Linked DNA regions of Anolis sagrei. The protein of the gene in region 1 binds, or shares a complex with, the protein of each later gene. Links are inferred from orthologs where the notes say so. Each region holds a gene or a part of one and is shown on either strand. Other genes may lie near its edges.

The links.
Region 2: the proteins of GNAI3 (region 1) and RGS2 are in contact, whole or in part, in a crystal structure (PDB 2V4Z), measured with the Homo sapiens proteins. The link is inferred for Anolis sagrei from reciprocal best matches to the Homo sapiens genes GNAI3 and RGS2. Residues at the interface, in NP_006487.1 of Homo sapiens: Val179, Lys180, Thr181, Thr182, Gly183, Ile184, Val185, Gln204, Ser206, Glu207, Lys209, Lys210, His213, Ala235, Glu236, Asp237, Glu238; in NP_002914.1 of Homo sapiens: Glu104, Phe105, Glu108, Asn109, Glu143, Ala144, Pro145, Glu147, Ile148, Asn149, Asp151, Phe152, Leu180, Asn183, Ser185, Arg188.
Region 3: the proteins of GNAI3 (region 1) and GRM4 are in contact, whole or in part, in a cryo-EM structure (PDB 8JD6), measured with the Homo sapiens proteins. The link is inferred for Anolis sagrei from reciprocal best matches to the Homo sapiens genes GNAI3 and GRM4. Residues at the interface, in NP_006487.1 of Homo sapiens: Ala31, Lys32, Val34, Lys192, Asp193, Leu194, Thr219, Phe336, Thr340, Ile343, Ile344, Asn347, Leu348, Cys351, Gly352, Leu353, Tyr354; in NP_000832.1 of Homo sapiens: Pro616, Lys619, Ala620, Gly622, Arg623, Glu624, Arg676, Ile677, Ile680, Phe681, Gln683, Gly684, Lys685, Arg686, Ser687, Val688, Ser689, Ala690, Ile694, Ser695, Pro696, Phe781.
Region 4: the proteins of GNAI3 (region 1) and CASR are in contact, whole or in part, in a cryo-EM structure (PDB 8SZH), measured with the Homo sapiens proteins. The link is inferred for Anolis sagrei from reciprocal best matches to the Homo sapiens genes GNAI3 and CASR. Residues at the interface, in NP_006487.1 of Homo sapiens: Ala31, Lys32, Gln304, Glu308, Lys314, Asp315, Thr316, Lys317, Glu318, Ile319, Tyr320, Thr321, Phe334, Asp337, Ala338, Thr340, Asp341, Ile343, Ile344, Lys345, Asn347, Leu348, Glu350, Cys351, Gly352, Leu353, Tyr354; in NP_000379.3 of Homo sapiens: Lys644, Ala645, Asn647, Arg701, Val702, Val705, Phe706, Ala708, Lys709, Pro711, Thr712, Arg716, Trp719, Phe801, Ile869, Val872, Arg873, Thr876, Ala877, Ala880, Phe881, Lys882, Val883, Ala884, Ala885, Arg886.

What each region holds. Positions count from the first base shown.
Region 1 is NC_090024.1:184,493,913-184,500,800, forward strand, and holds the start of GNAI3 (guanine nucleotide-binding protein G(i) subunit alpha-3), read right to left. Parts: upstream 3,007-6,888; 5' UTR 2,872-3,006; coding exon 2,754-2,871; intron 1-2,753. UniProt on the Homo sapiens protein: Heterotrimeric guanine nucleotide-binding proteins (G proteins) function as transducers downstream of G protein-coupled receptors (GPCRs) in numerous signaling cascades.
Region 2 is NC_090024.1:116,337,398-116,344,260, reverse strand, and holds the start of RGS2 (regulator of G-protein signaling 2), read left to right. Parts: upstream 1-3,859; 5' UTR 3,860-3,929; coding exon 3,930-4,039; intron 4,040-6,863. UniProt on the Homo sapiens protein: Regulates G protein-coupled receptor signaling cascades. Inhibits signal transduction by increasing the GTPase activity of G protein alpha subunits, thereby driving them into their inactive GDP-bound form.
Region 3 is NC_090024.1:188,836,009-188,843,786, reverse strand, and holds the start of GRM4 (metabotropic glutamate receptor 4), read left to right. Parts: upstream 1-4,767; 5' UTR 4,768-5,312; intron 5,313-7,778.
Region 4 is NC_090022.1:198,540,906-198,548,911, reverse strand, and holds the start of CASR (extracellular calcium-sensing receptor), read left to right. Parts: upstream 1-5,006; coding exon 5,007-5,191; intron 5,192-8,006. UniProt on the Homo sapiens protein: G-protein-coupled receptor that senses changes in the extracellular concentration of calcium ions and plays a key role in maintaining calcium homeostasis.

The DNA.
Region 1 (6,888 bases):
AGTGACTTAAAAAAAGTTACAGTGGATCATTAACTCTGTAGTTAAGGTCACAGGCAGGATGATGTTGCTACAGCCTACAAACATCAACATCCAAACCACCATGCTTCAAACAAAGTCTAACCTACTCAGTATCTCAACAATCTACTCCCCTGCCATCACACTTTATATGTAAATGTGGAAAAGTCTGAATCTTGTATTTCTTAGCAAAGATTTTCAGGGAACCATGGGGAAAGCAGATGATAGCTTCAAGCAAACCCTGTGTGGGTAGGAACTGGTTTTCCTTTATTATAAGAAGTGCCACATTTCTGACATTTGGGAAGTTTTTCCTTTTGCACAGATTGAACAAGATGATATATATAACCTGTGGTCCGCAAGAACTAAAATAAGGTTTAAGGTCTCACTATTACCACATCGTTGCAACGAGAGCGACGGGTCTCGCAAAACTCTCTTATATTGCTGAGGCTTTTTTAATATGGTTTTTTTTTTTGGGCTAGCAGATAGCAACTACTGGATGGCATATGTTCTGGATCAGAAACTAGAGTTGATGTGGTCTCTCCAATGCAGTTTTTTGAATCAGCACGCCAAATAACCAAACCAAATCTGAAGTTGACCAAAAACTGATTCGTAACCCTTTTGGTACTAATGTTGGAGTGGTCCCTGGTCAAAAAAAGGTTGGGAACAATTGATCTAAGTCAAAGAATGGACATATGCATACATGTTAGTTGACTGATTTGTACCACAAAGGCTTGATGCATCTGGACAAAACTTGGCACACGTACCGTTCATTATCCAACTTAAAATAATGAGTTTGAATTAAAAAGAACCCACCCATTTTTTGGCACAGAGCTGAGGGAACGAAAAGACACAAAGTGGATTGGCTGTTGCTAGGTGCAGTGGCCCTCTGTCCATGTGACTGGGATAGAAAGGAGGAGTGAAGCTGATTAGCTCATACTAGAAGACATATGTAGGGGGAGGGGAGAAAAGAAGCGAAAGTAAGCAATGGAGGGGGAGAAAAAAGGAAGGAAGCGAGGGAAAGGTATGAGGGGAGGGTAGAAAAATGGAAGAGAAAGGAAAGAAGAAGGGGAAGGTGTATAAATGGAAAGTGAAGGAAGGCATTCGCTTTCACTTATCATTATTTAAATTACTTGTTTTAACTTGTGTAATGTATTGTCTTACTTGTTGTCTATATTTTTACTTTGTTTCATACAGGCATTGAATGTTTGCTTTTATTATGTTGGAAGCCGTCCTGTGTCCCCTAAGGGAGATAGGGCGGACTACAAATAAAGGTAAAGGTTTCCCCTTGACATAAAGTCTAGTCATGTCCGACTTTGGCAGTAGACCTCATCGTCATTTCTGTCCATAGATGCATGGACTGCATGGAGCATGACAGCATGGAGCGCAGTTGCCTTCCTGCTGAAGTGGTACCTGTTGATCTACTCGCATTTGCATAATTTCGAACTGCTAGGCTGGCAGAAGCTGGGGCGAACAGTGAGAGCTCACCTTGCTCTCCAGATTCGAAACACGGACCTTTTGGTCAGCAAGTTCAGCAGCTCAGCAGTTTAACCCACTGTGACACCGGGGGCTCTGGGCTACAAATAAAGTATTTGAAAGCCTTCAACACACAACAAGTATTATTATTAAGGAAGAAGGTGGATGAAGGCAAAGAAGAGCCACAAAGAAAAATGAACACCCAGGAAAATGCAGGGTGTATCTATGTATGTATGTGTCTGTATATATCACACTAGCCATCCCCTGCCACATGTTGCTGTGGCCTAGTCTGTGTATATGTGTTTTGTGTGTGTATATGCGTATATCTGTGTGTACATATTTGTGTATATATGTGGTTTTGCGCATGCATTGTAATGTATTTAGTTTTTTGGCTTTTTAAGTCTCTTCTGATGTGTTTTAATGAGTGACTGTCACTCATTGGTCTGATAAGTGTATTGTGCCCAAATCTGGCGTCAAAATTTCCTGTGGTTTTTGAGTTATGTTAATCCCACAAACAAACATTACATTTTTATTTATATAAATACACACCAAATTTAAAATTTTACATAAAATCACCTTCAAGCGGTGTGTATTCAAAACAAAAGTGATCTAAGGGCTGTTGGGAATTATGGGAGTTGAAGTCCGAAGCTTGCCCATGCCTGATCTACACTGTAGAATCAATGGGGTCTGACATCCCTTTCAACTAATGCGGTTCACGGCTATGGATCAGGCTATGTCCCTCTATATTAGGCATGGGCAAAGTTGGGCCCTCCAGGTGTTTTGGACTTCAACTCCCACCATTCCTGACAGCCTCAGGCCCTTTCCTTTTCCCTGTCAGCCACTTTTGGACTTCAGCAGCCTCAGGCCCTTTCCTTTTCCGCCTTAGGCCCCTTTGGGGGAAAAGGAAGGGGCCTGAGGCTGTCAAGAATGATGGGAGTTGAAGTCCAAAACACCTGGAGGGCCCAAGTTTTCCCAAGCCTACTATGGATGGACTCCTGGGTGTTGTGGTTCGGAGAGGCCCCACAAGCCTTTGGCAGAGAAGGCCCAAGACCTCGCAACGCCACGACTCCCCTGATCCTGTAGCACGGAGACATGGCGGCTGAAGTGGGGCCAGGCTGGACGAATTCAAACTGTGCTCGAGCAGGGCTGGGTCTCAGGCCCTTGCGAACTGTACCGGGGCGAAGAGCGTGGCTTGGGCCTAACCGCCGCCTTCCCCCCGCCTAAGGCCCCGGCCCCACCCTTCTCCTCCTTCTCCTTCTCCTCACCCAACAGGAGCAGCTTCACCTCCTTGGCCGCCTTTTCCCCGTCTTCGCGGAGGTTGCGGTCGATCATGCGGCTCCGCTCGACCGCCGCCTTGTCCTCGGCGCTCAGCGTGCAGCCCATGGCGGCGGCGGTGAGGGACGGGAGAGGCCTTAGGCGGCGCCTCTCTGCCTCTCTCTCGCTCTCTCTCTCCTCAACGGTCGCCGCGACTCGAGTTGGGAGGCAACGGGGAAGGGAGGGGCCGGAACGAGAGAGGCACCGGAAACTGGCCTGCTTCCGCTCCTCTACTCCAGACCGACCGACGAAAGGCGAAGTGCATCTTGGGAAATGTAGTTGAAGAACAACCCCGGGGTTTTGTTAAACAATAGTTCTCCAATATGTTTTGGACTTCAGCTCCCAGAACGCCTCAGCTGCTTTGGACCATGGTCAGGGGTTCTAGGGAGCTGAAGTCCAAAATACCTGCGAAACCAGCGTTTGGGAAACATTGAAGGCTTGTGATCTTACAGGCGCAGGAGTCCATAACTATAACTATAGAACAGGCATGGTCAAACTTGGACCCTCCTTCCAGGTGTTTTGGACTTCAACTCCCACCATTCCTAACAGCCTCAGGCCCCTTCCTTTTCTGCCTCAGGCCCCTCTGGACTCCAACTCCCACCATTCCTAACAGCCTCAGGCCCTTTCTTTTTCCCCTCTCAGCCATTTTTGGACTTAAGCAGCCTCAGGCCCCTTCCTTTTTCACCTTAGGCCCCTTTGGACTTCAACTCCCACCATTCCTAACAGCCTCGGGCCCTTTCCTTTTCCCTCTCAGCCACTTTTGGACTTCAGCAGCCTCAGGCCTCTTCCTTTTCCGCCTCAGGCCCCTTTGGACTTCAAGTCCCACCATTCCTAGCAGCCTCAGGCCCTTTCTTTTTCTGCCTCAGTCCCCTTTGGACTTCAACTCCCATCATTCCTAACAGCCTCAGGCCCTTTCCCTTCCCTCCTCAGCCACTTGTGGACTTCAGCAGCCCCAGGCCCTTTCCTTTTTCACCTTAGGCCCCTTTGGACTCCAATTCCCACCATGTCTAACAGCCTCAGGCTCTTTCTTTTCCCCGCTCAGCCACTTTTGGACTTCAGCAGCCTCAGGCCCCTTCCTTTTTCTCCTTAGGCCCCTTTGGACTTCAACTCCCACCATTCCTAACAGCCTCAGGCCCTTTCCTTTTCCCTGTCAGCCACTTTTGGACTTCAGCAGCCTCAGGCCCTTTCCTTTTCCGCCTTAGGCCCCTTTGGACTTCAACTCCCACCATTCTTAACAGCCTCAGGCCCTTTCCTTTTCCCCTCTCAGCCACTTTTGGACTTCAGCAGCCTCAGGCCCCTTCCTTTTTCACCTTAGGCCCCTTTGGACTCCAATTCCCACCATGTCTAACAGCCTCAGGCTCTTTCTTTTCCCCGCTCAGCCACTTTTGGACTTCAGCAGCCTCAGGCCCCTTCCTTTTTCACCTTAGGCCCCTTTGGACTTCAACTCCCACCATTCCCAACAGCCATACATGAGGTTGACTTATACATGAGGTTGACGTACACATGGGTATATACCAGGCATGGACAAACTTGGGCCATCTCTCCATGTGTTTTGGACTTCAACTTCCACAATTCCTAACAGCCTCAGGGAAAAAGGAAGGGGCATGAGGCTGTTAGGAATTGTGGGAGTTGAAGTCCAAAACACCTGGAGAAAGGGCCCGAATTTGCCCAGGCCTATTACAGAATCATGTAGTTATAGAATAACTGAAACTATAACTACATAATTGTAGTCGTGGAATCATGGAGGTTGTATAAGGTCATGAGCCTTCTCTGCCCAGCCTTCCCAATCTGCAATTCCCAGGATTCCCTAACATTGAGCCATGGCAAATAGGCTATGCTGGTGGAAGCAATGGTGCTGGTATGGGCTCCCATGTCTGACAATTTTTTTATTTGGAGCCAAACTAAACTGGATTCAAGTCAAAGGGACTTGTCAGCTGTTGACATGATGAAAGGTAAAAAGGAAGTCTGAGGCTGCACATGTTATAGGAAAGTGGATTGTGAGAAACATTAACCAGGGAATTGAATGTATCAACCTTGCAATACTTGGGGTGAACAAATTACAGTGGACAAGAATAGGACGTTTTGAACCAGAAAATTACATATATAAAGTACATATCTGGATGCAGAAAATGGAGAAGATACATTCTTTCTGCAAACAAACAAACAAAAAACCCCAAGACCAGGAGCAGAATGTGGCACAGACCATGAATTTCAAAAACTGAAGTAGAGTTGAAGGACACTAAGCCAATTGTCATGCCAGAATACAACCCAAGAACATCACTGTAGAATTTAAATATAATGTAGAAATAGATTTGCGCTATTAAGCCTAATTCACCAAGAGCCAGATCTGAAGCCAGGGACTTTGTTGGGGAGGAATACAAAAAGACACTTTTGTAGCAAAAAAAGAGAGTGAAAGCAAAGAAAAGAAAGTTTCCACAAATGAAACTCTTCAAGTAGCTTAAGGGCAGATGAAATGTAAATGCAAAATGGAGAGAAACAGAGTCAGAATTCTAAATGCAACTGTTTATCAAGGGATAAGAAAAGCCACTGTAAAAACCAATAGAGAGAAATAGAAGATGACAGCAGAAAAGGATGGACATGAGACTGAAACAAAATGCACAACTGTCTGTATCTTTGCCCAGTCACAGGTGGCTTAAGTAGGAACATACTAGGAGGCTATGCTCACTCAGACAGCAGGCTATTTTTCTCTCTTGACAGCTGTAGCTCAATTTAATACAAAATACTTCCAACATTTGGGTCTTTGGGATCTTCTTAACAATCCTCTGGAACTATGGGGCTTAAACATTCTGCTCTCACTCAATTGGACAAGAGTCCAATTTGTAACTAGAAAAATAAATGAAACAGGATGTGTCTGTGGATTGTGTGTTACAGGAACAACCCTTAAAAAGGAAATTGTGACTCTTCCTCCCATTTCATAACCCAGTCTCCAAAATAGAGAAGTTGGTGTACAGGCTGTTCTGTCGCCCTCTAGGGACCTTTTCTAGGGAATGTTTCTCCCACCCTGGACATTCCACAGATATATAAACCTCACTTGCCTAGTTTCCAACAGATCTCACAACCTCTGAGGATGCCTGTCATAGAAGTGGGACCCCCCCTGAAAGAGAAAAAACACGAATTTACTATTTTTTTTAACCAGAGATAGAACCTCTCTAGGAATTTCTATATTTTTCAGCATAACTCTTTATTTTACTGTCTACTGGAAGCTGACCATAGAAATGCAATGCAGTACTTAGAGATTCCTAGGGAGATATTCATGATTGGATGAAGGTGGCTATAAAGACACACTTGAAGACTTCAAGATTCCTACAGAGACAATTTTAATCAGATCCATGAATAATCAAATTCACAAGTCAAAAATGCAAATGTGAAGGGATGGGTGCATATAAATTTTCTGTAGGATTGCTTATTCCCTCTTGCCTGAATTTCTGTGTGGAGGGAAAATATTTTAATGACGATGATGACAATGATGGAAGAGGAGGGAAGGAGGCATGGGCTTCCTCTTTATGAATGAATATAAGGAATTGTTATCACTTTAGTGTAGGGTGAATCTAGCACGAAAATAATTTGGCTGACCTGAACATTGCCTCACACATGCTTCTGGATACTGCATACCTACTCCAGATCAGAGCTTTGGAAAGATACTTTTTCTGGACTACATATCCCATAATCCTAATATCTAGTAGGTACTGGGATATGATCTCCAAAAAAGGGACTTTTCTAAGCTTTATCAAGATTGCCTCTCTATTTGGAGCTGATTATCAGAGTATTATCTACAAGCAGACATTTATAAAACATTTACTGTGTCTTTTGTCCCAAACAAAATGAGTACAGAATTAGTTTCCTGACACTGGGAGGGAGAAAGTGAGACACCTGTTGCAGGTGATAAATCTGTCACTCCCTCCTACTTTAGAAGTAGGTGTGGAGGCTCATAATTTCCCAAAGAAAAAAAAAACAAAAGAATCCTTTGTAACTGGTACCCACAGACAGAGAACAAACATAAATTAAACCAGTTTTGTCAGGAAATGCAGCTATAATAAAGATTTTTGGGTCTGTGTTGCCATCTAG
Region 2 (6,863 bases), about 68 Mb from region 1:
GTCCTTCGGGAGATGCTAGCGGGGTACAAATAAAGTTTAATAATAATAATAATAATAATAACACAGATAAAACATATAATCATACAATGCTTACATTAAAACACAACACCACAAAATACATATATTACAATACATCTATTACATGCCTGTTTTCCTGACTGACTGGATTATATGGCAGTGTAGATCCATCCTCTGATGCTTCTTCCCTGATGTTTGACTGGTTTGGTGTGATTTTTCCCCTTAAGTGTGTACAGGATCACAGCCCAGTCCAACTGCATTCAATGGAACGGATTTAGTTTCATCATGATTTTGCTAATGTGTTTTTGGTAGGTAAAACACCCCTTTGAGAATCTGCTAAGCACAAGGCATCCTTTTCCAAAGCCAATTTTCAAAACCATATGAAAGAAGCTGAAGGGATGGGGATTTTTAAATTTATTTTTCCTGGCTTATAGAAATCACCCCCACAACCCCACCCATGGGCATCTTTGTGTAGATTTAAAAAGCAAGGATTACTTGTGCATGCATCACTGAAAACCTACGGCTGCAACGCAGCCCTTCTGCCATTCACCAGGAAAGTGGCATCTTGTTCAGATGTGATCCACTCCATATATGGTCTTTGCCATGAATCCGTCTGCAAACAAAAGAGGTACCCAAAGTTTAAAAAAACACGCCTACAGATTGAGAGAGATGCAGAACTCTGTATTCAAATATGTATGAATAGAAAAATATTTGAATAGCTCACGACAGCAAGAGTAGTTGACTGTAGAACTGTCACATATTAACTGTGTATATAACTGGGTTAATATATCCCTGCAGAACTCTGTATATATGTGTATATATCTGTGTGTGCTAATATATATATATATATATATATGGATGTGTGTATATATATGTGTGTGTGTGTATTGTTGTTTATTCATTCAGTTGCTTCCGATTCTTCGGGACCTCATGAACCAGCCCACGCCAGAGCTCCCTGTCAGCCATCACCACCCCCAGCTCCTTCAAGGTCAGGCCAAGGATAACATCCATCCATATCTGTATATGTGCGCGCAAATATATATATATATATATATATATATATATATATATATATATGCATGCATGCATGCATGTATATACTATGTGTATATATGTATGTGCATAAATACATATGCATGTGTGTATATATGTATATTGTGTGTATATACATGCAAAATATAAATGCATGTGTATATGTGTGCATATATATATGTACTGTGTGTACATATATGCATGTGTGTATATGTCTGCATAAATGTGTGTATATGTGTGTAAATGTATATCTGTATATATGCATGTGTGTGTATATATACATACAAATATATGTATGCACATATATTTACACACACAACATGCATATTTAAGTGTATGTGTGTATTTGCATGTGTGTATCTATGTAAAGTTTGCCCCATTTCTGTCGTTTGTGGGTTTCAGAATGCTCTTAAATTGTAGTGAACTATAAATCCCAGCAACTACAACTCCCAAATGTCAAGGTCTATTTCCCTTAAACTCCATCTGTGTTCATATTTGGGCATATGGAATATTCGTCCCAAGTTTGGTCGAGATCCATCATTGTTTGCGTCCACAGTGCTCTCTGGATGTAGGTGAACTACAACTCCCAAACTCAAGCTCAATGCCCACCACACCCTTTTAGTCTTTTGTGTTGGTCATGGGAGCCCTGTGTGCTAAGTTTGGCCCAATTCCATCATTGGTGGAGTTCAGAATGCTCTCTGATTGTAGGTGAACTATAAATCCCAGCAACGACAATTCCCAAATGACAAAATCAATTTTTTTGAGTGGAGGACATATATTGGACTGTTAGGTGTCTAGTGTCCAAATTTGGTGTCAATTCATCCAGTGGTTTTTGAGTTCTGATGGCAGCACGAACTAACATTACATTCAGTTCTTGTGGGGTTTTTTCGGGCTATATGGCCATGTTCTAGAGGCATTTCTCCTGACATTTTGCCTGCATCTATGGCAAGCATCCTCAGAGGTGAGGGCTGCTGGAACTGGGAAAAAAGGGGGTTTATATATCTGTGGAATGACCAGGGTGAGACAAAGGGCTTTTGTAAGTTGGGCTAGGTGTGGATCTTTCAACTGACCACCTTGATTAGCATACAATGGGCTGACTGTGCCTGGAGCAAACTCTTCTTGAAAGGTGATTAGATGTCCCTGCCTGTTTTTCTCTCTGCTGTTTTTGCTGTTGCAATTTTAGAATTTTTTTTTAATACTGGTAGCCAGATTTTGTTCATTTTCATGGTTTCTTCCTTTCTGTTGAAATTGTCCACATGTTTGTGGATTTCAATGGCTTCTCTATGTAGTCTGACATGGTGGTTGTGAGAGTGGTCCAGCATTTTTGTGTTCTCAAATAAAATGCTGTGTCCAGGTTGGTTCATCAGGTGCTCTGCTATGGCTGATTTCTCTGGTTGAAGTAGTCTGCAGTGCCTTTCATGTTCCTGGATTCTTGTTTGGGCAATGCTGTGTTTGGTGGTCCCTATGTAGACTTGTCCACAGCTGCGTGGAATACGGTAGACTCCTGCAGAGGTGAGAAGATCCCTCTTGTCCTTTGCTGAACGTAGCATTTGTTGGATTTTCTTGGTGGGTTTGTAGATTGTTTGCATGTTGTGTTTCGTTGTGTGTATATACATGTATATACAAACAATCTACAAACCCACCAAGAAAATCCAACAAATGCTACGTTCAGCAAAGGACAAGAGGGATCCTCTCACCTCTGCAGGAGTCTACCGTGTACCATGCAGCTGTGGACAAGTCTACATAGGGACCACCAAACGCAGCATCGCCCAGACACGCATGAAGGAACATGAAAGGCACTGCAGACTACTTCAACCAGAGAAGTCAGCCATAGCAGAGCACCTGGTGAACCAACCTGGACACAGCATATTATTTGAGAACACAGAAATGCTGGACCACTCCAACAACCACCATGTCAGACTACACAGAGAAGCCATTGAAATACACAAGCATGTGGACAATTTCAACAGAAAGGAGGAAACCACGAAAATGAACAAAATCTGGCTACCAGTATTAAAAAAAATCTAAAATTGCAACAGCAAAAACAGCAGAGAGAAAAACAGGCAGGGACATCTAATCACCTTTCAAGAAGAGTTTGCTCCAGGCACAGTCAGCCCATTGTATGCTAATCAAGGTGGTCAGTTGAAAGATCCACACCTAGCCCAACTTACAAAAGCCCTTTGTCTCACCCTGGTCATTCCACAGATATATAAACCCTTTTTTCCCCAGTTTCAGCAGACCTCACCTCTGAGGAAGCTTGCCATAGATGCAGGCGAAACGTCAGGAGAAATGCCTCTAGAACATGGCCATATAGTCCGAAAAAACCCACAAGAACTGAGTGATTCCGGCCATGAAAGCCTTCGACAATACATTAAAATTACATTTTTATTTATATAGAGATATGCATGCACATTTATATATAAATATATATATAAATATTTATATAAAAATAATTATATATATAAATGCATGCACATTTATATATAAATATATAAATATAAATAAACACACACATATATATGTAAATTATATATATATTCATGCACATTTCTAATTCTCAGTCATGTCCCCAGTTTGCAGGCGACTCCTCGTGAGGTCTATTTTTTGCCACAAACAGCAACTCAAAAGACAAAAAAAAAAGGGCAAGAGGGAGAGAGGCGCGCGCCACCTACGTCAACGCTGTTCTCCTGAGGACGCGGGGCTCGCGCGCTCCTTGTTTGGGGAGGCCTCCCTCGGCGCAGCCAATCAGCGATCCGGGGGAGGGAGGTGGGCGTCTCCCTCCCAGCCCTCCGCCTCTATAAAAGGACCAGCCGGGCGGAGGGGAGGCTCAAAGCGTGGTCGCCAACCTTGGAAGCTTGCTGGATTTCCTTGCGGGGATTATGCAGAGTGCAATGTTCCTGGCTCTCCAGCACAACTGCAGCACGATGGAGAAAAACGCCAGCCTCTGCCCGAGCAAAGAGGAGAAAAAGGGGAAGATGAAGAAAACTCTGTAAGTGTGCAGGAGGGGGAGATGGGAAGGGGCTTCCAAATGCTGACATAGCGACTAAAATGATCAAGGGTCTGGAGAACAAGCCCTATGAGGAGCGGCTTAGGGAACTGGGCATGTTTAGCCTGAAGAAGAGAAGGCTGAGAGGAGATATGATAGCCATGTATAAATATGTGAGAGGAAGCCACAGGGAGGAGGGAGCAAGCTTGTTTTCTGCTTCCTTGGAGACTAGGACGCGGAACAATGGCTTCAAACTACAAGAGAGGAGATTCCATCTGAACATGAGGAAGAACTTCCTGACTGTGAGAGCCGTTCAGCAGTGGAACTCTCTGCCCCGGAGTGTGGTGGAGGCTCCTTCTTTGGAAGTGTTTAAACAGAGGCTGGATGGCCATCTGTCAGGGGTGATTTGAATGCAATATTCCTGCTTCTTGGCAGGGGGTTGGACTGGATGGCCCATGAGGTCTCTACCAACTCTTTGATTCTATGATTCTATGATAGCAACTAATGCGGGGTCAGTCAACTTGAGAAACTGCAAGTCGCTTCTGGTGTGAGAGAATTGGCTGTCTGCAGGGAGGTTACCCAGGGGACACCCAGAGATTCCATCTGAACATGAGGAAGAACTTCCTGACTGTGAGAGCCGTTCAGCAGTGGAACTCTCTGCCCTGGAGTGTGGTGGAAGCTCCTTTGGAGGTTTTTAAGTAGATGGCTATCTGTCAGGGATGCTTTCAATGCAATATTCCTGCTTCTTGGCAGGGGGTTGGACTGGATCTGTAGTGTAGATGCACCTCAAACAGCCCGAACAGGGTTGTGGTTGATAGCAGGACAGCCTGTGGCATGTTGGGGACCAATTTGGAAAATCCTATTTTAAGATACAGTTGGGAAAGGTCAGGTTTGTTGTTGCCAAACTCCTTTGCTGCAAAGTAAACCCAGGAGAAAGAATAGCTCTGGATCTGGTTGGGAGGGATTGAGTTACCTGCATCATATTTGCAGCCAATCTGTATTTCACAACTTGGGGTGCTTTTGCTGTATTCAGGCCCCTTCCACACAGCTGAATAAAATCCCACATTTTCTGCTTTGAAGTGTGGACTCGGATAACCCAGATCAAAGCAGATATTGTGGGATTTTCACCCTTGATATTCTGGGAGATAGAACCAAAGAGTTGGAAGAGACCTCATGGGCCATCCAGTCCAACCCCCTGCCAAGAAGCAGGAATATTGCATTCAAATCACCCCTGACAGATGGCCATTCAGCCTCTGTTTAAAAGCTTCCAAAGAAGGAGCCTCCACCACACTCTGGGGCAGAGAGTTCCACTGCTGAACGGCTCTCACAGTCAGGAAGTTCTTCCTCGTGTTCAGATGGAATCTCTGGGCGTCTCCTGGGTAACGTCCTTGCAGACGACCAATTCTCTCACACCAGAAGCGACTTGCTGTTTCTCAAGTTGCTCCTGACACGACAAAAAAGAAGAAGATGGAATTTCCTCTCTTGTAGTTTGAAGCCATTGTTCCGCGTCCTAGTCTGCAGGGAAGCAGAAAACAAGCTTGTTCCCTCCTCCCTATGAATTCCTCTCATGTATTTATACATGTCTCCTCTCACTCTTCTCTTCTTCAAACTAAATATGTCCAGCTTTTTAAGCCACTCTTCACAGGGCTACTTCCAAGCTCAAAGGAGTTACTTGGAGGGCAGAGAGTCCCTTGTAAAATCTTGCAGTTTAACTAAAGATTGCACCTCTTTGTAGAGATAGGGTTGATCCTTGGATTGTCGAAGGCTTTCATGGCCGGAATCACTGGATGTTGTAGGTTTTTTCGGGCTATATGGCCATGGTCTAGAGGCATTTTCTCCTGACGTTTCGCCTGTATCTATGGCAAACATCCTCAGAGGTAGTGAGGTCTGTTGGAAGTAGGAAAATGGGTTTATATATCTGTGGAATGACCAGGGTGGGACAAAGGACTTTTTTCTGCTGCAGCTAGGTGTGAATGTTTCAACTGACCACCTTGATTAGCATTTGATTGTCTGGCAGTACCTGGAGCAATCCTTTGTTGAGAGGTGATTAGATGTCCTTGTTTGTTTCCTCTCTGTTGTTGCACTGTTCTAATTTTAGAATTTTTTTTAATAATGATAGCCAGATTTTGTTCATTTTCTAATCACCAGAACACCTGGGGACCCACAGGTTGAGAACCACTGTTCTAGAGGCATTCTCTCCTGACGTTTTGCCTGCATCTATGGCAAGCATCCTCAGGCGAAATGTCAGGAGAGAATGCTTCTAGAACATGGCCATATAGCCCGAAAAAACCTACAACAACCCAGTGATTCCAGCCATAAAAGCCTTCGACAATACATTGTAATATTGATAGTTTCTTTTTAAGGAAAGGGAATACAGTGTGTTGAAGGGTTTCCTTGCAAGGAAAGCACTCAGGCTTTTATACTTTATATATCCTAGAGCTCTTTATATATATATATATATTCTTTATATATCTTGGTCACAGGGAGTAGGAAGCAAGCTTGTTTTCTGCTGCCCTGGAGACTAGGACGTGGAACAATGGCTTCAAATTTCAAGAGAGGAGATTCCATCTGAACATTAGGAAGAACTTCCTGACTGTGAGAGCCGTTCAACAGTGGAACTCTCTGCCCCGGAGTGTGGTGCAGGCTTCTTCTTTGGAAGCTTTTAAACAGAGGCTGGATGGCCATCTGTCAGGGGTGATTTGAGTGCAATATTCCTGCTTCTTGGCAGGGGGTTGGACTGGATGGCCCACGAGGTCTCTTCCAACTCTTATTCTATGATTCTTCCACACAGCCATATAACTCAGAATAGCAAGGTGGATAATCCACA
Region 3 (7,778 bases), about 4.3 Mb from region 1:
TATACCTGGGTTTTGGCAACAGCAATGATGATTAGTTATTTCATATCCTCAGTTATTTTACTGGGCTGGAGCTCGGTTATGTTGTTGGATGGCAAATGAACACATGACAAGTTTGCCCTCTTGATAGTTTTCTGTAACATCAGTGAATGAATGGGACTGGACAAGGAATTATGCAATGACCTTTAGAGAAGTTCTGCATGTGCCTCAGGTGCATGACGATAATGGTCACACTGTGCAGGGATGTCATAGGTCTAAATCTCACACTCTGCCACTGGCTCTGCTCAGTAAAATGAACCCTACCTCAAGCCAGGCATGAACATCTGGCTTCTTCAATTGAGAACACTGGTATTCTTAAATGGGAGACTTGCACAGTAGGTGTCCCTATACTGCATGATTTAGAAACAAATATTATCCTTGAGACTTTGCTGTTGTCATCTAACAGCCTGATATGGTTTGTATGGAAGCTGCTTCTATATTTAATCCAACTGTTGATCTGTCATATATAATCTTTTGAAATGAAAACTATTGTCATTTGTATTGTCGAAGGCTTTCATGGCCAGAATCACTGGGTTGTTGTGAGTTTTCCGGGATGAATGGCCATGTTCCAGAAGCATTCTCTCTTGATGTTTCACCTTCATCTATGGCAGCCATCCTCAGAGATTGTAATTTCGTCAGATTCAATCACCTCCTTGTCCTTGTAGATGGGCCACCATTGTTTTGGAAAGACATGTTTTAAAAGCCATGATGATCAGTGTTTGTAGAAGCCGGAGGGATGCGAGGAGGTAAAAAGGGGGTCTTACTTTCAGATTTATTTGGTCGACTGCAAAGACAAGGAGATATAAATTGTTCTCCATGTGGCATGATACATATGACCTACTGGGAAGGAGGATAGTATTTAGCAATCTAGCACTTCAAATTTGTTAATTTATTCTGGGATGATGGGATCCAAAAAGTTCCAAAATAATTGAGGGAAAAAACCACTGAGGTGGAAAGGAAAATCTATCTTATCCTTGGGAAACTCCATTTTATGTCAGCCTTCTCCAAATTGGTGCCTTCCAGGTGGGTTGTAACTCCTATCAACCTCAAACAGCACAGATAATGGTTAGGGATGGTAAGAACATCTGGATGACACAGAGTAGGAGGGAAAGCTGTAGGTCTCTCTCTTTTTCCGAATCACATTTCTCTTTCCCAACTTGGCAGTTGGCAGTTCAAAGCCCGGCATGGGGTGAGCACTCAACCTTTAGCCCAGCTCACTGTCCACCTAAGCAGTTCAAAAAACAGCTGTTAGCTATGAGTTGAGAAATTAGGTACTGCTTAAGCGGGGAGGTATTTTATGGCACCATAAAAAGAAAATACCAGAAAATGCCAGTGATCAAAGGAAGGAGGAAGCCTGTGATCAAGGGCTTTTCATCATAAGGGATGGTACAACAGCGCCTCCCTGTGGCCACAATCAAGCACAACCTCCAGGATGCCGAAATTGGGGGAAATGCCGACATTTTTTATCTATCTGTTGTCTGTCCTGTCTGTTTAATGGCATTGAATGTTCACCATGTATGTGTTCTGTGATCTGCCCTGAGTCCCATTCAGAGTGAGAAGGGCAGAATATAAATACTGTAAATAATAAAATAAAATCTGCAGCTCTTTCCCTTCATTCAATACAATTAATTGTAGTGAGAGACCCTCCCTTTCTCTTTGTTACATTTGCTTGTGTATATAGAAGAAGGAAAAGGGCTGCAATCATGAAAATCTTGGAAGAGGAAACACAGTTCACCCCCCCCCCCCAATTCATTCTACATAAAACAAAACGTGGGGAGGGGGAATTAATTTTTGCAAAGGCAGCAAAAAAGCTCAAGCCAGCTTTGACTCCAGTACGTACAGTAATAACCTTGATGAGGCAGAATGTATCTCATACATCTGCATCTGTTCCTTGCATCCTGCTTGTTGCTAATTCCCAGGGAATTCCTTTCCTTTCAGTCACAGCTGAAATAACCAAACTTGATGATGTACCCTGTTTCTACTGAAGTGCTATAATGTGAACAGTTGAGAGAAATCCCAAGGGGGCAATCAATACCATTAATCTACTGCCTGTGGTAGGCGGGATGGTATGGAGGGGAGGGGGTGTGATTACTCAATATGCCTCAAGACTGGAAACTTACCCTTTTCTATTTGGTTACATTGTACAGATTATTAGGATCCTGTGCCATCTCTGCCCACACTTAGGAGTAATCTCTGATGATCTTGCTTGTAAGTTTTGTTTTACAACCCAAGTCCATCACTGTGTTCTGCAAATGTTTTAAATTATACATACTCACAAATAGAGTCGCCCCTGGGCTGAGAATTGCGGTATATAAGCGAAGTAAATAAATAAATAAATAAATAGACCTCCCTCCCTCTGGCTGGTGTGATTTCACCAAGGGAGCCCTCAGTGGGTTAAACCCTTGTGCCAGCAGGACTGAAGACTGACAGGTTGCAGGTTCGAATCCGGGGAGAGCGCAGATGAGCTCCCTCTGTCAGCTCTGGCTCCCCATGCAGGGACATGAGATAAGCCTCCCACAAGGATGTTAAAACATAAAAATATCCTGGTGTCCCCTGGACAATGTCCTTGCAGACAGCCAATTCTCTCACACCAGAAGCGACTTGCAGTTTCTCAAGTCACTCCTGACACGAAAAATACAAAACAAAACAAAAAATTATGGGAGTTCAGATATGCTATATAAAACAAAACATAAAATGGCTCTCTTGTTACCTCTGTGTGTTTATACACTTGAAATTGATTGCAGACTATGACTGGCATTGCCCTGGTGGTATCTGCAAGCCCTGTTGAGGTGACAGCCTGCAACATGCTGCAGATGGATTTTCATGACCAATTTATGTATCAATCATTATTATCTTGATGGACCGGAGCAGTTAATTCTGCCAATGATAATTTCTAGAGGGTCCTGTTTTGGATTAATTAATTGCTAGGGCACAGTGACTATTTCAGAGCCACCGGGATTTGCAAGTGACTTTCCTCATTAGCATGAGATTTCTTACAAATTGAGAGCTATGCTGACCATGTGTAGGCAGCATATTGTTGCTTTTAGGCTTGATTGGATTATGCCTGCTGTGTACTTCATGGCACGCACAATGGCATACAAGGGGCACAATTAAGATAGCTGTAGCTGATTGATGAAAGGTTCCATTTTGATTGTTATCCACCAAAATTAGGTGATAATTTTTATTAAACACTATAATGTGGTAAGATTGTTTTGCAGGCAAACATGTGTTTACCCCAGCTGCCTGTTCTGCTTGTTTGCCTATCAATCATTCCTACATGTATGTTTGTGCATTGTTTGGATTACTCATTTGCAATCTATTAATGATCATTGTGATTTGGGAACTACTTTCCTCTGCACGTCTCAGGAAGGAGAGCAAAGTGTTGCAGCTCTCAGAAAAACAGTTGTTCTAGTCCTATTTTGTTAATGGTGAAATAAAGATGTGGTCAGGAGCACCCTCTTCTCCAGGGGATTCAATTTCAGGAGTGAAACTCTTCAGCATAATTTGGAAGATATCCATTTTTGTGGTATTTTGCATTGCTACCATGGCACATTTCCTAACAGGTAAGATTGCAGAGGGCTAATGTATGAACAGTATATAATATAATTAAAAAGGCAATCAATTCCACTGCCATTGTCAAGTATGTTTACATGGCTGCTTTGGATATCTAGTGGTAAGATCCACAGTGCCACCTGTCCTTATAAACATGTTCTGTATGTCTTCATGTAATACACCTGATCTCATCATTTATACTGCATCTTATGGAGTCTTTTTTTCTATCTTTCTGATGTTTCCCATGCCCTGTTTTTAAAATACATGTGGAAGTATCTTCCTTCATTTTGTTTGTGTGTGTGTAGCAATGAGTCCTGTGGCACTATAACCATGAACAAATGCTTGTGCTTGCTTGGATTACAGTCGGTTTCATTAGATGCATGATGTATCCCCCCCCCTTTTTTTTACAATGCACAGCTGAGAGATTTGTCTATATTTCTGGTATTTTTGAATGGTCTGTCTGTCTGTCTGTCTATCTATCTATCTAAGACAAGAATGGTCCAAAATCAGGCTGCACATGCCTTTCTGTAGAGCTGTTTTCCGCTCCTTTTCCCCTGCCACTAAGGTGTACTAGTTCTTTAAAAGGCTGGTAGAAACCAAAGCTTAAGCAGCAGCTATTAATGCAAAACTTCCAAGCCTCCCTCCCTCTTGATCGCTGGAGATGTTATCAGGCTGAATGTAGTTTAGCCTGACTGTGGAATCCCTTCTCTTTCCTTACTCCTTTCCTTTTGGGTCCACGGAGCAGTCCTCTCTTGCAAATATCCCCAAACGGTGAGAGGAGAAGAGGGGAAAGAAAGGGGGGGGGGGCATCAGTCTTAAGAGACAGGAGGGATGGCTCCTCGTCCAGAGCCACACATTACCGTGCCTCAAGGCTGGAGTCCCGCTGGTCTATGAGTTCAATTCTAGGATTTCTTGGCAACTGGATGGTGTGCGCCTCAGCCTCGCTGCTCCCTCCGGGAAAGCCGCTTTTCTTTAGCAAAGAGTCCGAGATTCCCAGCCAGCGTCTTTCTCTCGCCTCTGGCTAGCACCTGAAGGGGCTCTTTCAGCACCACTGGAGGCGGACAGCTCCTCCGGACCAGCCCCGGCTTCCTTTCATTCCCAGGCACTTGGGAAGGAGCAGCCCGTGCGGCGCGTGGACGCGCTCGTGGGTGGACGCGCCGGCGCGCGTGCACGCGGGAAATGAGAGGGAGGGAGGGAGGGAGAGAAGGAGGGGGGAGAACTCAAACCTCCCGCTAGCCCGACGAGGTCCACCAAGATCCATTAATTACCAGGAGGTGAAAGAGGAAAGCAGGGGAGCTGCACCGGGCACGGGAAGGGCTTGTCGAGGGAGGCGAAGAGAAAAGAGGGGAGGAGAAAAGGCAAAGAGAGAAGAAGAAGAGGAAGAGGAGGAGGAGGAGGAGAAGAAGATCCCCCGCCAGGAACTATGCCAGACCCATCCTGATTTTGGACAGGAGGGAGAAGCGCCGAAGACCGCAAAAGGCAGGAAGCAAGGGACGGGGAGGCTTTTCTTTCTTTGTCAACCAGGCAGAATTCCCCCCCAAGGAGTTGAGCAGCGCAAGTGCTGGGAATAAAGAGAGAGAGAGAGAGAGAGAGAGAGAGAGAGCCCAGCGCCTCCAGAAAGTGAAGCCTGCAGGGAAGTCGGGAGGGAAGCTTGGATTTCTTTCTCTAGTCTACAACATTCCCGGCATGGGAGGATTTCACCCAACTTCGCTTGATTTCTGAGGGTGAGTAATTCCCCTCCATGGTGGTTTTATTTATTTATTTATTTCGTATCAAAAGCATTGCAAACATTAGTATAAAACTGATAAATATAGAATTGTATGATGGTGAAGGGGTTTGGAGGGATTGCCCTCAGCATACCTTCCTCAAGTCTTATCTCATGCTCTCCTTTGAATCTGGAGAAGCCTGCGATTGCCTTACCATTTGGGAATGGCAACGTGCCTCCCCTTAATCTTTGGAGGGAAAACGGGGTCTCTCTGAGATCTTTGTGCTTGGGGTTCCTCTGGAGCGAGAGGCTGTCCCGGGTTTCTCCTCCTTAGGATGCCAATGGAAGGACTGACCACCTGTGAGGAACTTTACCCTGGGTTGAGAGGGTTTCGATGCTGGAGGCGATGTTCATGAACGTGGCAGCACTGCCAGGGGGGCTGGATGGGTGATAGAAACATAGAATCATAGAGTTGGAAGAGACCTCGTGGGCCATCCAGTCCAGACCCCTGCCAAGAAGCAGGAAAATCGCATCCAAAACACCCCTGACAGATGGCCATCCAAAGAAGGAGCTTCCAACACATGATGAATGGTGTGTGTGTGTGGAAGGGATTGCAGGGCTGAAAGGGGAGATGTTCCTTGCATCCCCTCCCCTCCCGTGCGGTCAATATAGCAGGGTTCCCATCGCATGGAGAGAGGGCAGGGGGAGGAAAAACTGCAGCAAACGCTGGGGGGCATTGGAGCCAATGGGCAGGCAGACAGGCGCCTTTGCTTTTGCTCCGTTCCTATTTAGGAAAGCTCTCTCTACGCCCCGAGTTATTATTTGGCTCCAAACGCTTCAGCCTTTTGGTGACATGGACCAGAAGGACGTTTGAATCTGTTCGGGTTGCAGAAGAGTTTCTTATTCTTTTGTAAAATGGAGAATGGTTTGAGGAGCCAGTGTGATCAGATAGGGCATAGGGAAGAAGAGCTGGAAACCGGTCCAGACGCCACTTGGGTGATGTAGTGCTACGTGATGCTTCTTGTAGATGGCTCAGAAGATGCCTTTGCCAGATCTTTCGGCCTCTTTCCACCTTTCTCTTCCCGGTGAATGGCATTCATGGTTTTCTTCTGCAAGCCCCTGAGAGAGACCTGGGGATGGCTCTCCCTCCGGTGCCTGCGCTTTTCCACCTCTTTTACTATGTGTTGCCTTGGAATGGGAAAAGGCGGCGCTGAGGAGGTTTGGCTGCCTGGGCTGGAACTCTCTCTTCTCTCACACGCCTGGAGGCAATGGACCCTTTGCTGCTGTGGCTTTGGAGGCTGAGAAAGAAGCCCAAACGCCTCTCTCACTCTTCTCCATTTAGTTCAGCAAGGGATTGTTATTGTCCCTTTGGCTTGGGGATACCTTTGTAATACCTTCTGTGAAAGAACGACTCAATGGATGCGAGTTCCCCTTCGGCAAAGTTGTGTTTCTGTGAATGTCTGTGTGCCTTTAAGTCTCCTGTCAACTTATGGCGACCCCAAGAATCCTATAGGGGTTTCTTAGGCAAGGAATCCAGTACTCAGAGCTATAGGAGAGAGAAAGAAACACACAGGGCATGGAGCTGTCCACCATGGCTCCCTAGTTAGACAGCTCCTTCTTCAGGTTAACTTTTTTCTTCCCACATCCCCAAGAACTCAAAATCTGGCACATTTCCCTGGCATTTTGCTCATTCCTAATAAAGGCCCAGCCCTGAATTTTGTCTGAGCTAGCCAGTCTTCCAGGGAGGCCACTATTATGCATCACTACAATGGTCTCTTTGGATTTCTCAGGCAAGAGGAGAAGCAGAGGTAGTAGCTGCCAGTAGAAGGAAAGGTGAGATGAAGTTCTTATTTCTGCCTTCAGCAGTAGCATAGGCACAAAGATTGGTGTTTTCACTGCAGGTAGGAAATTACTTGGACCTGTGCTGACTAAGTCTCACAGCTTCTTGTGAATGGAAGTGGGGAGGCACCCCATCTTGGTAGGATTTTGTGATGAAGGGCACGATAACCAGTCCACTTTGCATCCTCTCACTTCTTCCTTTGAGAGAGTTGCTGTTTTTGAAATGTATCTCAGAACACCAGACTCAGACTTCTGCTTATACAGTGTAGTAGAAATGAATTTGACTTGCATTTCCTTTTGGGAGAGCTCTCTGAATGCTGTTTGGTGAAAAACAGATCTGGGATATCTACATAAAAGGAAAGTTGGTGGGACATAACATCCAAAACACCCATTTCTGAATGCCCCCCTGAATTGCAGCTTCCATACTTGTTTGTTTTTGTCATGCCCTTCCAGACCTGGCAGGCAGTGTTTTCTGCTCTGAAATCCACCACGATCAATTTGATTATATCAGCACTTATGAGGCTCAAGTATGAGTCACGGTTTATTGTTGACTCACCTTTGGCCTTAGGTTGAAGAAGATTTTACAAGGTATCACTGAAACAAGCTGAAGGATTTATAGCACCAGGGGCTCATAGCACAACGTAAC
Region 4 (8,006 bases), on another chromosome or scaffold:
AAGCCCAAACAACAGATTACAATAAAATAAAATACAAATTACAAAAAATAAACAACATCGCAGTAAAATACAAAACATATGAATACAATAAGCAGTATACACAAAACCTAAGAAAGCAATAAACAAACATAATGACAGTGAGCGGGCTGCATGTACAATAAAATGGTTTAAAAACTCAGGGTGAGATAAAAGGAGCAGATTATTTGCATGGGAGAACTCAGTGTAATAGACATACCTTTGTACAAGGGCGGGAGGGGGGGGGGATACTCCTAGGACAGAAACATTGAGGGGGAGCAATAGCTAAAGCTTGTGTGGCTACTCTCCAAAAGTGCAGCGGCAGAGCCAGGTCTTGAGATTCTTTTTAAAGGTTTCTAGGCTAGGGACTTTCCTAATCTCACCGGGCAATGAATTCCAGAATCGAGGAGCTACGGAGGAAAGGGCTCTCTCCCTTGTATTATTATTATTATTATTATTATTATTATTATTATTATTAATCACCATCATCATCATCATCTTTATTTTTAACCTGTCCCCTCTTCCCAAAGGAACTCAGGGTGGCTCCCAAAGGCAAACATAGGAATCAAACAAGCAGTTAAATCAAATAGTTACAAATAAACCAATAAAACAACAAAGACTAAAACATGTAGTCAATCAACCTCATAAATAACACCACAGGCTGGTAAAATCCATATAAAAATAAAAAATACACAAGCATATAAACATGACTCTCTAGTAAGTTAAGGAAATATAATCACTGTCAGCATCGTCAGACAAGATAAAAGCAATAATAAGCTAATCATCTTCCTCCCCAAAGACCAATGTACAAAAGTATGTTTTTAAGTGCCTCTAAAAGGAAAAGGAGTGAAGAGACTCTTCTGATTTCCACAGAGAGGGAGTTCCAGAGGGAAGGAGCGATCACTGTGAAGGCCCCACTCTCATGTTCACACCAACTACAATTGAGACAGGGGTGGGACTGAGAGCAGCCCCCCTCCCCAATGACCACAGTGTCTGTATTGGTTGCGGAATGCGTTTAGTTAAATAGCCTGGACCCGGACTGTTTAGGGCTTTAGGGCATGTTTATACAAGGACCATTTTATTTATTTTAAAGGTAGTTCAGGCTTTGCTTTGGGATGCTCTTATCTTTCCCTAAAACATAGATTTGTGCTCTTTCCTTATGTTTGTTGGCTGTTATTTCTGATTTGTTGTTAAAAGGTTTTGCGGATTTGATTTTATCACTGAAAACGTAACTGGAAGATGTTAAGCACTTTTTCCACTCATACTGGCTATTTATAGCACTGTTTTCCTTTTTTAAAAATGGTTTCTTTTTCTTAGACTTATCATATTGTTTATGTAAGCCATCTTAAATAGCAAGAAGCATAAAACAATTGCTCTTATAAATAAGTAAAGCTATTTGTGGGGTTGCACTAGTTTCATTTGTCTTTCTGCTTCTAACAAGCAACCAGGGAAATAATTGGAATAGTAGGGAATTTAGTGACATCTCATGATTTGCTTGAAAGTCATAGATTGATAGCATAGCCTAAAGTACAAATGACTTTCCAACTCCATTTATTCATAGGGATACTATGAGAGCAATGGCATGGATTTTAAGGAATGTTTTGAAGCCCAATAGCTTATGAACTGGACATGTTCCGTTTTCTTATTTACTTAGGCAATCCCTTGTTGTCCCAAATATGACAGCCTTCCAAGTGTAGTGATGGTGGTTACATGACTGTGGAGCCCTATTCTTGATTCGCATGTTCTTCCACAGTGAGGGAAGTGCAGGTCTCTTCCAAACACCCTTTATCCCAGAATATCAAAGCAGAAAATCCCACAATATTTGCCTTGAACTGGATTATCTGAGTCCACACTCAGATAATGTGGAATTTTCCGCCTTAATATTCTTGGGTATAGGGCTGTGTGGAAGGGCCCTCAGTTTAAAGTGATGATGGTTACCTTTAAAGTCCTAGATAAATTTGGTCCAAGGCATCTTCCGTTGACCAGAAGCTATCGATATTCTACACATCTCAGCAGAGATCCTCTTCCAAATCTTTCCATGGTCTGTGCATTAGGTGGGTAGTGAAAGAGCAGAATACTTTCTTGATTGTGTCACCCCAAATGTGAAAAAGCCTGGTCCTAAATTTGATGTCCATTTAGAAGCAGGGAAAGACAAAGTTCTGCAACTTTCCGACAGATTTGATAGTAAGTTTCAAGTGGCAGTTTTTCTGTGTACAGTATTTTATGGACTTGCATTGTTGCTACTTCTGTGACAATTATTTCATTGGCATTTGTTTATTTTGGTTATTTACATATGAGAGATGGTTGGCATATTTTACATGGCAAAGTTATAGATCAGTGTAATAACCAAATAATGAAGAACATCTAGGTCAGAGGTATGAATTGTGGCCTTCATGGATATCCAAAGGATTCAGTTCTGCCTTCTATGTTTTCTAACATCTACATGTAGCTGCTAGGGGAAGCCATCTGGAGTGTTGTGGCTGTGTGTCGCCAAAGTTTTGATGATCCCAGATATAGCTGTCCTTTACAACTGTTGGCAGGGAGGTAGTTGAAGTCCTGAGTCATGCAAAGAAGAATTGGATGTCGGCCTACAAATTGAAGATCAAACCATACAAGATAGGAGCACTGATGGTCGGGAGGAAGTCTAACCTGGAATTTGGAATCGTTGCTGTTCTGGGTATGCTTGCACTCCTGGTGAAAGCACAGATTCATAAGGATGCTCTTGGACGTAGGACTGCTTTAAGGCCAGGTAGCTGCAGTGGCCAGGAGTGTACATGTTCTGCTTCAGTTGGTTCAGCTTGGCAATGTTGTGCTATCATGCCTTAGGCCACATCTACACTGATCACTTAAGTCAGTTTCAAACAGGCATTGAAGAAAGTGATTCCACTGAGCAGATTATTACATAGGAAACCCTGGAACCAGTTTGATGCCCCGGCAATTATTACACAGAACATTGATGTGCTTTAAGGGCTTTCTTTCAGACACTTCTTTCTCACAAGAGTCTGTTGTCTATCACCACAGGTTTGAAGCTAGCTTCAAGCTGCATTAAAGGTAGATGGGGCCTTAGTTGCCACCTGGTTAGATTGTTAAACATATTCTATATGATGCTGCCCTGTTCAGGCGCTGCAACTAATACAGCATCCCTACTATTGAAGGTATATGTACTTAAAGACCACATAACCATGAATCTTACAAGAACTGCACTGCCTTCCATTTCACCTTTGATAGTAACTCAGTGTGCTGATTTTGACCAGCAAAATCTTTTTAAAAGCATTGTTCAAGGATATTTGAAAGAACGCCTTCTCTCACATGAGCCTGCCCTAATTTAGAGATCCTCAGGGTTGCATATCTCAGCATCTGATAAGACTAAGTTGGTGTTCATATGGCAGGACCTTCTCTCTAGCAGAACCCTGACTGTAGAATTTCCTGCCAAAAGATGTTTAGCTGGTTCCATCTCTTCTGAGCAGGCAGCTAAAACAGTATTGTTCCATCTAGTCTTTGGTGTTTGATATTGCTCTGCTGTTTTAATTGCCTGCTTTTAAACAGTAAATAAAGAGCAACACTCAAAAACTGGGGAACTCCAGACAAGAAACAATCAGGGACAGCTAATCACATCTCAACAAAGGATTTCCCCAGGCAGCAAGGAGCCTCACCTTAAAACTGCTAGGTCATTAAAAGCTAAGTGGACAATTTCATCAAAAAGGAAGAAACCACGAAAATGAATAAAATCCAGCTACCAGTACAAAAAAAAAAACTTCCAAAATTATAACTGTAAATAAAGAACAACACTAAAACACATGGGAACTCCAGGCAAGAAACAATCAGAGATTGCTAATCACTTCTCCACAAAGGATTCCCCCAGGCAGTAACAAGCCACTTCTAAAAACTGTCAGGCCATCAAATGCTCAGCAAGGTGGCCAACTAAAACATTCATACGTAGCTCCAACAGACAAGAGTTCTTTCTCCCATAGATATAGAAACCCCATTTTCAAGAGTTCTTTCTTCCACAGATATAGAAACCCCATTTTCCTAGTTTCCAACAGACCTCACAATTTCTGAGGATGCCTACCATAGATGTAGGTGAAATGTCAGGAGAGAATGCTTCTGGAACATGGCCATACAGCCCGAAAAACTTACAACAACCCAGTGATTCCAGCCATGAAAAACTTTGACAATACATTGCCTTTAAATTGTTTATGATGAGTGCTTTTAGTTTGTTGTCAGGCTTTCATGGCCGGAATTACTGGGTTGCTGTGAGTTTTCCAGGCCATATGGCAATGTTCCAGAAGCATTCTGTCCTGACATTTCACCCACATCTATGGCAGGGAACCTCAGACCCCTCAACCTCTGCCATAGATGTGGGCGAAACATCAGGAGAGAATGTTTCTGGGACATGACCATACAGCCCAGAAAACTCACAACAACCCATTGTTTTTAGTTTCTTTTTAACATTTGTATCTATATATTTAATCTTTTAATTGTTTTTATCTGATGCGGATCACCATACGGATCCTGGTGAGCAATATCTAAATACTTTTAATAAATGAAAAAATAAAAATAAATGTTGAGAAGCCTAACTTTAAAAGTGCACCTCTGGAGAGGTATGAAGATCCTTATTGTTTAAGGTTAATGTGCTAGTTGTGAGGAATAAAAGATTAATAATGCATTTTGAGGAGGGGAGAGGGGCTCTTTCTCTGAAAGTTCAACATTATTTCTTTGTGCATCTGAGCTGATTCTTTTACATCTGTTCTGTTTTAGGCAAACTAACACTGTAGTGGTCCTCAAGAAGCTGCTGGACTTTGCAGAGTGTAATGAAGAAACCCACTGGTGAGATGGATAACTACAGCTAGTGGATTACCATCAATTAGCCATGTCTGCCAAATCCATCGTGTGCACTGTTCCAAAGAGAAACAGTTTGTTGGAATGTATTACATTTATCCTTCTTACATTTTGAAGTTTGCAAGATAATCCCTTTGTGAAAAGGAGGAACAATGACTTTTTATAGTTTTTATTTGCTTTTCTTTGCGTTTACTTGGAATACCTCTGCCTATGGACCAAATCAAAGGGCACAAAAGAAAGGAGATATTATTCTCGGTGGACTATTTCCCATTCATTTTGGAGTAGCTGCTAAACACCAGGATCTGAAGTCTCGGCCAGAATCTGTAGAGTGCATAAGGTAAGCTTACGCAAAAATATGTAATATACGCTCAAGAACTCCAGTGACCATAGTTCCCATCTCTATGAAGTGAAACCAAATGCTGATTTTGTAAATAGTCTAGAATTTGTCCTGTTGGGTCTTTTTTTAAAGTCATTTCCCACTGTGGTCACAAGTGCTGCCTATCCATGAATGTATGACGTTGTTATATTAAGTTCGGATGTTGGTTCATCTAACCCAGAATGTTATATATCTGTGATTTGAAGGTACTCCATGTATCATATCAGACAACATAGTCTCTAATGCAATTGTTATAGTGTCAGAAGTGACTTGAGAACATACTGTAAGTTGCTTCTGGTGTGGGAGAATCAGTTGTTACCATCCTGTGGGACATTTCTCTCATGTCCCTGCATGGAAAACTGGAGCTGATAGATGGGAGCTCACCCCATCTCGTGGATTTGAACCACCGACCTTCAGGTCAGCAGTTCAGCCATCACAAGGGTTTAACCTATTGCAACACCACAGCTACATTTACCAGTAAAAATGAAATGCACAGATATAGAATAGGTAACACTTTGCTGGAAAACTGTACACGTGAAAGGGATCTAGGAGTCTTAGTACACCACAAGCTGAACATGAGTCAACAGTGTGGTGCGGCAACTCTGGGTTGCATCAATAGAGAAATACTGTCTAAATCAGACCTGCACAATTTCCCAGTAGTAAGGGGCTGAAATTAGATATGCTAAGTCTCTTTGGGCTGCAGATAGCACCTCACTTTTGAATTAAGGTAGAATTGTCCTGAGTTGCCCTTCAAAAACAGCATTTAGACAATGTTGAAAGTAAAAGAAAAATGTTTTACTTCAGCAAATACAAAGGATAAGCAAATACAATTGAAAAGTGCAAAAGAAAGCAAGGTAATCTTAATCCAGACACAAATTAAAGTCTCTTACAATTTCCCAAAAGAAACAGCAGTCTTCCATCAGACAACGGTCAATGAACTAAGTCTTTAGAAGCAGACACAAAGCAGATTCCATTGGAGTGAAAACAGCAGTATCAGGATCGTTGTTACCAGCGAAAGCTGTCTGCTCCTGCTTCTGATTTATAGCCCTGAATTCCCAACGTAGGAGGTGCTAGGGCGTCTCCCAATTAGCTCAGCGTTTTTTAGCAGCTATCTTAGCTGAACACCGTCTGTGCTCTGTCTCTAAGGCTCAGAAAAACAGAAAGTCAATCAAGTGACTCCTGGGTCCTGGGGATTGTTGGCAATCAGTCTCTCAGCGGGGAGTCAAGTGGAAGAATCTGTCTTGTTTCCCAAGACAGCCACATAGTCCAAAGTCACATAAGCACTACATAATATAAATTATGATATTTGATAACCTTGGGTGTTGCCCTGATCAGCTGTACAACAGAAGCACAGTTGTAAAAACAGAATAGTAACATATTGGAGCGGGCAGTTCAATTAGGCAAAGTTTTGCAACAGTGAAGAAGTTAGAAAGGAGAAAAGGAAAGAGACAGTCCCAGAAAACCTGGCAGAGTGAATTTTGTTAATTAAAGAAATGTATGATTTCATGTGTGTGTATATGGATGCAGTCATGCTGGCCACATGACCTTGAAGGTGTCTAAGGACACCGCCGGCTCTTCAGCTTAGAAATGGAGATGAGCACCACACCCCAGAGTGGGGCACGACTGGACTTAATGTCAGGGGGAAACATTTACCTTTACATTATGTGTCGGTGTTTCCTGGGGTGACAAGAAACACCTATACATATCCTTTTATTTTTAATTACCTTGAGGCTGAGAGGGTGGGGCTCAGGAGGTGAGAGAAAGGTCAATCCTGAGTTGTTGGAGTCACAACTTAATCTTGGCTCTAGGGTTCCTTAGATTCACAAAATGATACTTGACCAGATTACGGTGTTAGGTCTTCCTGGACATTCAACTCCCCCCCCCAAAAAAAAACAGTTTCCAAAGCTCATATATCAAGTTTAATTAGCTGCCTGGGAATATGTATATGGTTGTACCCCAGGTTTTGTGAACTGTATGTGACTCTTCTCCCCTGACTTCATTAATAAAGAAAAAAAATATGTGCAAGAGTTCTCTTCCAGTGGCAAGAAAAAAGTAGTTATTTCAATGCAGATGTGCATAGTTTCCTTAATGCGGAAGAGAGAAAAAGAGGGAAATTACCCTGAGAAAGTAGATAATGGAATCTTATGCCTCCCAAGTTTGTCAGATAATAATAAAAATTCAATTCCACTTTACATCTTTTAATTAGGAACTATGAGGTGATGCTTACAAGGAAACAAATCTATTAGCATGGTAAAATTGAATTATTTATAGTGGTCACTTGGACAGCATGACACAGTTGCTGTTCCCACTCAGACCCTATTACATATTTCAAACCCAATAAATTCTGTTTGCAATCCTAAAAAGTGAGTTCTCTGAAAAAATTGCATTTTGTAGTACGGAAGTACTACATCAGTTATGCTCTCTGACATCTTTAATAGAAGCAAACTTTACAAAAGCATCATAAACCTCCAACATGTTACCACATTGAAAGGAAGTCAATCATTGGATTCCCTTTAAGATGCTTCTCCTGATCTCCCTCAGGAAGTGTGAAATTGAATTAGGCAGTCTGCTATTCAAGGATCGTGTTTTGGAGGGAATCACTTTCCATTTTTTTCTTAGCAAACTAGGATTCACTTTCCACTGATTTTTTTTTTGCATCATGTCGAGTAATCTGAAATTTATTTTAATTGGCAATCTTTAAAGGTACAATACTTAAATTCATATCCAGTCCTGACAGCATAAGGAATGTAAGAGACCCACTGAATCTAGCATACAA